Linked DNA regions of Cricetulus griseus. The protein of the gene in region 1 binds, or shares a complex with, the protein of each later gene. Links are inferred from orthologs where the notes say so. Each region holds a gene or a part of one and is shown on either strand. Other genes may lie near its edges.

Region 1 (3,652 bases):
CAACCCCAAACTGAGGTTGCGTTTTAAAAGTTAACATGTATGTAGTTTAAACTTAAAAAAAAAAAAAAAAGTTGTTGAGGGTACTGTCAAGATGGCTTAGCAGGAAAGGGAGATTGTTGCCAAACTTGAGTTCAATCCCTGAAACCCATATGGTGCAGAGAGAGAACCAGCTCCAACAATTGCCCTCTCTTCTTCATACGTGTCCATGTGTGCACTCTTCCATGTGCATGAACATGGAAATGTCTAAAAGCAAGTAGTTTCTCAGCAGTTTCTGTGTATCGGGGAGGATGGTAGGATAATGGAACAAGCAAGTTATAGAAAGAAGAGACAGGCAAGCTGAAAGCCTTAACTCTTATTTGCGGTGGTATTCTGGGTCCATTATTTTCTCTCTTAATATTTATGTGTTTTTTTTAAGATTTTTTTTATTTATTTATTATGCATACAACATTCTGCTTCCATATATATATCTGCACACCAGAAGAGGGCACCAGATCTCATAACAGATGGTTGTGAGCCACCATGTGGTTGCTGGGAATTGAACTCAGGACCTCTGGAAGAGCAGTCAGTGCTCTTAACCGCTGAGCCATCTCTCCAGCCCCAATATTTATGTTTTCTAAGAAGGTGGAAGGGTTATTGGGAATATTCCATGTAGGATTGTTGGTAACAAAGGCCTCAGCCCAGTCCTGACTGTAGATATTCAGTACATGATCCACATTCTTGATGGCATTGGGGGCTGTGCTTCTGAGTATGCTGGTAGCCTGACATTGCTTTCTCTGTGCTCTTGCTGCTGTTCTAGGAATGACCATGGACAAAAGTGAGCTGGTACAGAAAGCCAAACTTGCTGAGCAAGCTGAGCGCTACGATGATATGGCTGCAGCTATGAAGGCTGTAACAGAACAGGGACATGAACTCTCCAATGAAGAGAGAAATCTACTCTCTGTTGCCTACAAGAATGTGGTAGGTGCCCGCCGTTCTTCCTGGCGTGTTATCTCCAGCATCGAACAGAAAACAGAGAGGAATGAGAAGAAGCAACAGATGGGCAAAGAGTACCGTGAGAAGATAGAGGCTGAGCTGCAGGACATCTGCAATGACGTACTGGTGAGGGCTGCACTTGTGCTTTTCACACTCATCCTAGGCATCATGGTCCAGATACAAACTCAAACAACTTAGGAAAGAGTGAAAGCCATTTGTAACTTGATCTAAAGAATATGATATAATTTTTATCATCCTTTCTGATCAGTTGATCATTTCTGGGATGTTTTCCTTCTCCTCTCAAAAAGGCTTGCAACAAACATAACATTTCATCAACATTCCTCCATTTTTCTTTAGAAATGAGGCCAGATGGAGAGGTTAGTTAGAAAGATGCAGTCACGAGTGGGTTGCTCTAGGGAGTGAATCGTCTCTGGAAAGGAAGAGATGGAAAGGCCTTTCAGCCTCTCCTTGGTCCTGCCCTCACAAAGTGTAGCAATCTGATGTTGAAGGTTTGGCACATTCTGTCAACTGCAATGTACAGTCCAAAGCCAAACCAAAGGTGGTATGGGGCTTTTCCCGTGTGTTATGTATACTATAGTCAGGTGTAGTTCCTTCTAACTACATGTGGGCTTGGGTGGGAGGGTTGCCAGTCCTAAAACACTTAATGATTATATTCTTTCGCTCATATCTGGAGCACACTGGGAATTTTATTTCCTATGTGAAATCAGGTAAAACTTAACTATGAGGGCTGCTTTAAAGGGAAAGGGATTAACACTTGTTGATTTCCTTCCTGCCCTACTCTCTGTCTTCCCAGATTACCTCCCTTGACATCTTCTTTTGAAAACCAATATAAAGCTTGTCAGCTGTCATGCGCATTCTTCACCCTTAACCCACGGGGTTACGCCCTTCTGCACAGTACTTTAAAACAGCTACTACCTCTTGCATACTTTGACATTGATTAATGAAATCCTTGGTAGCTGAGCTGTGCTTTGAGCCTTTCTCTTTATTAGATTCTTAGTGTAAGATAAAAGTTTCATGGCTAAACTTTTTGCCTGTCGATTGTTTGGGGGTTTGTTAATGGTGCACTAATTCCTGAATGTTAGGTACATCTGGTATTCAGATGAAGTATGGCTTGCATTCCAAAGGCAAGAGAGTTCCATAATTCCTGAATTGTAGACCAGCTTTTAAGAGCATCTGAAAGAGTATGAAGAAGAGCATGGTACTTACTGCCTCTTAACCAGTTTTTCAGGATGCCACATTCTAAAACAACTCTTCGAAAATATTGCTCTGTATACGAAGCTTGGACTCCTTCAGAACTACTTTTGTTGTAAGCATAAATGTTTAAAGGAATTTGTTATTAATAATAGTACTAGACTCTCTGAGTGCTTACTACGTGCCAAGCAACGTGTTAAGCACTAGATGTTACCTCGCTTGTCCTTATAACTACCTTAGAAGGTGGCCATGCTGGTCCCCTTGCCCCTCCCCGCTGTACAACCAAGGAATCTGAGGCTTGGGGTCCTCAGCCTCCTCTCCAGGTCATGTGGAAACAAACAGTAAGCATCAGAAGAAGGTTTTCTTCCCAGGTCAGATCAATTTTAAACTGAGTTCTTGCTGTTTTGTTCTATTGCTGCTTTTTTTTTCCCTTCCCAGAATAGAAAGACACACACACACTCAAAATTACAGAAGTAATAAAAGTTTAAATGGGGGGGGGGGGAGTTTGTTTGTTTCTACAAGATGGACAGAAGAGTTAAGAACTAAAAGTCACTTCTAATGCTATTATCCAGAGAAGCATTGTTCCTAGAATCCTCCAAGGCTTCCCCACATTTTTGTGTGCATGTACCCATGCTTATTTTAATACTAAAGTGAGATTCTTTTGTTGATAGTCTTTTCCAGCTAGATTTGTGTGAGCAATGCAGTTCTGTGCCATCCTTTTTATATCGCATCCCATTGTAGTAGCTGCATTATAGCCAGCCCTTACGGTGGTCAGAGGACTTGTAAGTGAAGGGTACAGGCTTCTGCTCTTAGGACTTGGCTAAACGGTATTTAGTAGCTTGGATGAAAGTTGGTTAGGTTTTTCTGTTTGTTGGTTTAGGGGGTTTTTTTGTTGTTGTTTTTAGTCTTCAGAAAAATCAGTAGTAGTAGTAGTGCATATCTTGAATCGCAAATGTAATTTTAACATCTCAGAAACAATTCAAAATTCTTAATGTGAATCACTTTTTAGGAGCTGTTGGACAAATATCTCATTCCCAATGCTACACAGCCAGAAAGCAAGGTGTTCTACTTGAAAATGAAAGGAGACTATTTTAGGTATCTTTCTGAGGTTGCATCTGGAGACAATAAACAAAGTAAGTAATGTTTTTAAGAAATAGTAGGAGGGGGGCTGGAGAGCTGGCTCAGAGGTTAAGAGCAGTGGCTGCTCTTCTAGAGGTCCTGAGTTCAATTCCCAGCAACCACATGGTGGCTCACAACCATCTGTTATGAGATCTGGTGCCCTCTTTTGGTGTGCAGATATGTATATGGAAGCAGAATGTTGTATGCATAATATAAAATCTTTAAAAAAGAGAGAGAGAGCTGGGCAGTGGTGGCACACACCTTTAATCCCAGCACTGGGGAGGCAGAGGTAGGTGGATCTCTGTGAGTTCGAGACCGGCCTGGTCTACGAGAGCTAGTTCCAGGTCAG
Region 2 (3,652 bases), on another chromosome or scaffold:
ACTGGAGCAGGTGGTTACAACGACCCTCTGGAGTTGGCCATGCTCGGAGAAAGCCTTGAGCCACCAGGGTTTCCATTCCGTCCTTGTTCTGGAAACCCTGTTGAAGGGGCTGGGGAAGGGCAGGTGTAGGGACAGAGAGTGTGGCTGGTTAGTTTGGGACCAGGCCAGGGAAGAGCTGGGGCTTGATGGGAGACTCTGGAGACTACTGGGAACAGGTGCGAACAACTCAAGGGGTAGCAGGCTGCTTTGGCATGATGGGTTTGGCACAGGACTATGCTTTAATTTGGGGCTTTATGTGGCCTGCTGACCAGGCCATGGTCCTTGGAGGACAGGGGTGGGATTCTGGTGACCATTTTCTGGTCCCTCCCCAGGTCCCTTTGTACAAAGTAGGGGCCCAGGACAGCGTAAAACTACTTCTGATACTGGAAGAGATGTGGACATGGCAGGTGTGTCATCATCGGTCACACACTAGGGACAGACATCCAGAGAGGTAGGCAGGTGCTTCGTGTCACTGTATATTGATACTCAGAACCTGTTTGGTCTTTCTGCCCAGGTAGAATCACCTAAGATAAACACGCACACATATACACACACACCATGCACAACACATATGCGTGCTCGTACACATATTCATACCCACACATCACCTCATACATAGGTGCTTATGTACACACATGTACACACATGCACACATATGCATATATACAGAACTACCATGCTCATACACATGGACAAACATATAAGTATACACACATGTACACCAGGCAACATACATACATATGCCAGATACATGCTTACATATGTAGAGGCCTACATGTATACATACTTGCATACACACATGTACACAGCATACATGCACACTTTCATACACACACACACATGCTCTCAGACTTGCATATACATGTTATACTCCCCTATGTACTCTCAACATGGGTATATATGCAAATACACATACAATATAGACATATTCACACAAATATACATACCACATAGACAGACAGACATGCATACCCTGACTCTATGACTTTCCCTAACTCACTCAGAAGGTCTGACAAGCTCTCCTGGATTGGGATTCTGGAGGGGAATTGGGGGGCCGCAGCCCACCAAACCCTGTGGGGGAGCTACCATGGTGGGGACTGCTGTGTCTCAGGAGGCCTTGGGCATAGAATTTGTGCTGGTCAGGGTCAGAGAAAGGTGCCCGGAAGGGAGAGGGTAGGCGGGTGTCGCCTCAGCCCGGGATGTGGTTAGGCCATGAGCAGCCTGCTTCCCAAAACCAGAATAGCCCAGAACTTACACAACCCACACCCCTAAACAATCTGGCTGCCTTGCCCGCCTCTTCTGTAAGCTTCACAGATTTCCTGGCTCCCTATTGCTCACACAGCAACCCTGAGCCCACTCTGTGTCCCCCAAATGTCAGCCTAGGCTCCAATCTCACAGTGTCAACTTACTGATCTTTCAGCAAGTCTAACCCATGCCTGACCCACTGACCTCATGAACCTGCTCACCCTTGATTCATCCCTGACGCACTCAGGCAACTCCCCTGGACCCCACCTTTTTCCTTCCCAGAACCTCTCTGTGACCCCTTCTTTCTAGAATGCCAACAGTGCTAAAAAATTAAAAAAAAAAAAAAGGAGCAGACGCAGGGAGGGAAAATGAGTCAAGAGTGGGGTGCCATGGGTGGGCAGCTTCCTGGGGTCCCTGCTCACTCACTCCCAGACCCCACCATCTCTCCCAGGACCTTCTTCCCAGTCTCTAGTGCAGCTTCCCCCAGTGGGACAGAAACCATTTCAATCTCATGGAAGCTTTCCACCTCCACTGGTCCCTGTCCCACTTCTGCCCAGCTCGGGGACCACCATATCAAAAGGCCTATCTTGAGTCCTTAATGTCATTTGCTACCCTGTGTGTTCCAATTACAGATTTCTTCACCAACTACCGCCCCCCGCAGATGCCCACATCTTCGAACTTCCTGGAGCCACCCAGCTTTGGCCCCATGGCTGACTCCCTCTTCAGCAGTGGGATCCTGGGCCCAGAGATGCCATCTCCAGCCTCCTCTTCCTCCTCCCCAGGGACTACCCGCCTACAGGTGAGTGTATCCTGTTATGAGAAGCCTGCCTAGATGGGACAGGAATGTGTGCATGGAAGGAGGATGGGAGTGTGTGTTTAGGCAACTAAGTTGGCATCTTATTTCTAGAACACCTGTACCTGGTTCAGAAGTCATTACCCTGCAACTGTTAGGGTCCTGTTCCAGTTTCATTTCTGTTGTTATGCTAAAATACATTGAGGAAAAGCAAGTTAGAAAGAGAAAAGGGGTTTCTTTCAGCTAACAGCCCCAGGTTACATACAGTCCACCAGTGTGGGGAAGTCAAGGCGGGAACTTCAGTCACACCACATCTACAGTCAAGAGCAGAGAAGAACAATTGCCGGCATGCTCGCCTGCTTACTCATGTTCAGCTCCATTTCTTTTCTCTGACACAGTTCAGGATCCCCTGCCTAGGGAATGGTGCCACCCACAGTGGGCTGGGTCTTTCCATATCATGGAATCCCCAATAGACATGCCCACAGGCCAACCCAATGTTGGTGGCTCCTCGCTGAGACTCTTCCCAGGTGGTCCTAGGTTGTTGACAGTTAATACTAACCACCCCAGTGTCCTTTTCTCCTATCATGGAACTTTTCACATGCTTTTGTAGTTTATTGTGAGAGGTCTCTTTCCTCCGATGGGCTTGGTGGGGCTGTTTTGGCCACCACTACATTCCTTGTACCTAGTGGTTTCCACACACAGAGTGTCATTCAATAAATGGTTGCCTGGTGAGTGAGTGAATGAGAACACAGTAAATGGAGAGACCATTATAGCCAGTGGTGTCTGCATATGAGGATTAGTGGATGTAAAGTAAAAGGGTCTGGTGAGTAGCTGGGCTGATGGGTGGATTCCCACGTAAGTAGTTTAGTAGATTGATTGAATGAACCATGGGCTGGCGCTACATGGCTTTGTGAATGGATGAATGATTTGTTACATCAGTGGGTGGTGAATGTATAGATGGGGTGTGGATGGGTTGATGGGAGAATAAAGAGTTTAGACGGTTGGATCTGTTGGTAAATGGCTGACTACCTGTGGGCTAGAGTGGTAGTTAGTCTCTCATCACTGCTACACCTAGGAAAACAACCTCAGGGAAAGAGGTATTTTGCTCATGGATTCAGAGGCTTGAGTCTATCATGGGGGAGGAGGTGAAACAGCAGAGAAGCTAGGAAGTAAAGACAGAGAGACGGGTGCTGGGGAGGAAGGGTGCCTTCACTAGATGACTTCAACCACCACGTGCCATGTATTCATCTGAACTCCCAAATGATCAACTTCGTCCACGGTGTGCTCCCCACCCCAATCAATGAACTTACATCCACAGTGTGCCCCCCACCCCAAACAATGAACTTACATCCACAGTGTGCCCCCCACCCCAATCAATGAACTTACATCCACGGTGTGCCCCCCACCCCAAACAATGAACTTACATCCACGGTGTGCCCCCCACCCCAATCAATGAACTTACATCCACGGTGTGCCCCCCACCCCAAACAATGAACTTACATCCACGGTGTGCTCCCCACCCCAATCAATGAACTTACATCCACAGTGTGCCCCCCACCCCAAACAATGAACTTA

What was found. Proteins that work in one complex are often made in the same cells at the same time.
Region 2: the proteins of Ywhab (region 1) and Mlxipl are in contact, whole or in part, in a crystal structure (PDB 6YGJ), measured with the Homo sapiens proteins. The link is inferred for Cricetulus griseus from reciprocal best matches to the Homo sapiens genes YWHAB and MLXIPL. Residues at the interface, in NP_003395.1 of Homo sapiens: Gly55, Arg58, Ser59, Trp61, Arg62, Ser65, Ser66, Gln69, Lys70, Arg129, Val178, Tyr181, Glu182, Asn185, Leu218, Gln221, Leu222, Asp225, Asn226, Leu229, Trp230; in NP_116569.1 of Homo sapiens: Asp118, Ile120, Arg121, Asn124, Ala125, Trp127, Arg128, Ala129, Trp130, Tyr131, Ile132, Tyr134.

What each region holds. Positions count from the first base shown.
Region 1 is NC_048599.1:15,508,026-15,511,677, reverse strand, and holds part of Ywhab (14-3-3 protein beta/alpha), read left to right. Parts: intron 1-796; 5' UTR 797-798; coding exon 799-1,098; intron 1,099-3,193; coding exon 3,194-3,317; intron 3,318-3,652. UniProt on the Homo sapiens protein: Adapter protein implicated in the regulation of a large spectrum of both general and specialized signaling pathways. Binds to a large number of partners, usually by recognition of a phosphoserine or phosphothreonine motif.
Region 2 is NC_048597.1:114,201,693-114,205,344, forward strand, and holds part of Mlxipl (carbohydrate-responsive element-binding protein), read left to right. Parts: intron 1-1,916; coding exon 1,917-2,083; intron 2,084-3,652. UniProt on the Homo sapiens protein: Binds DNA as a heterodimer with MLX/TCFL4 and activates transcription. Binds to the canonical E box sequence 5'-CACGTG-3'. Plays a role in transcriptional activation of glycolytic target genes. Involved in glucose-responsive gene regulation.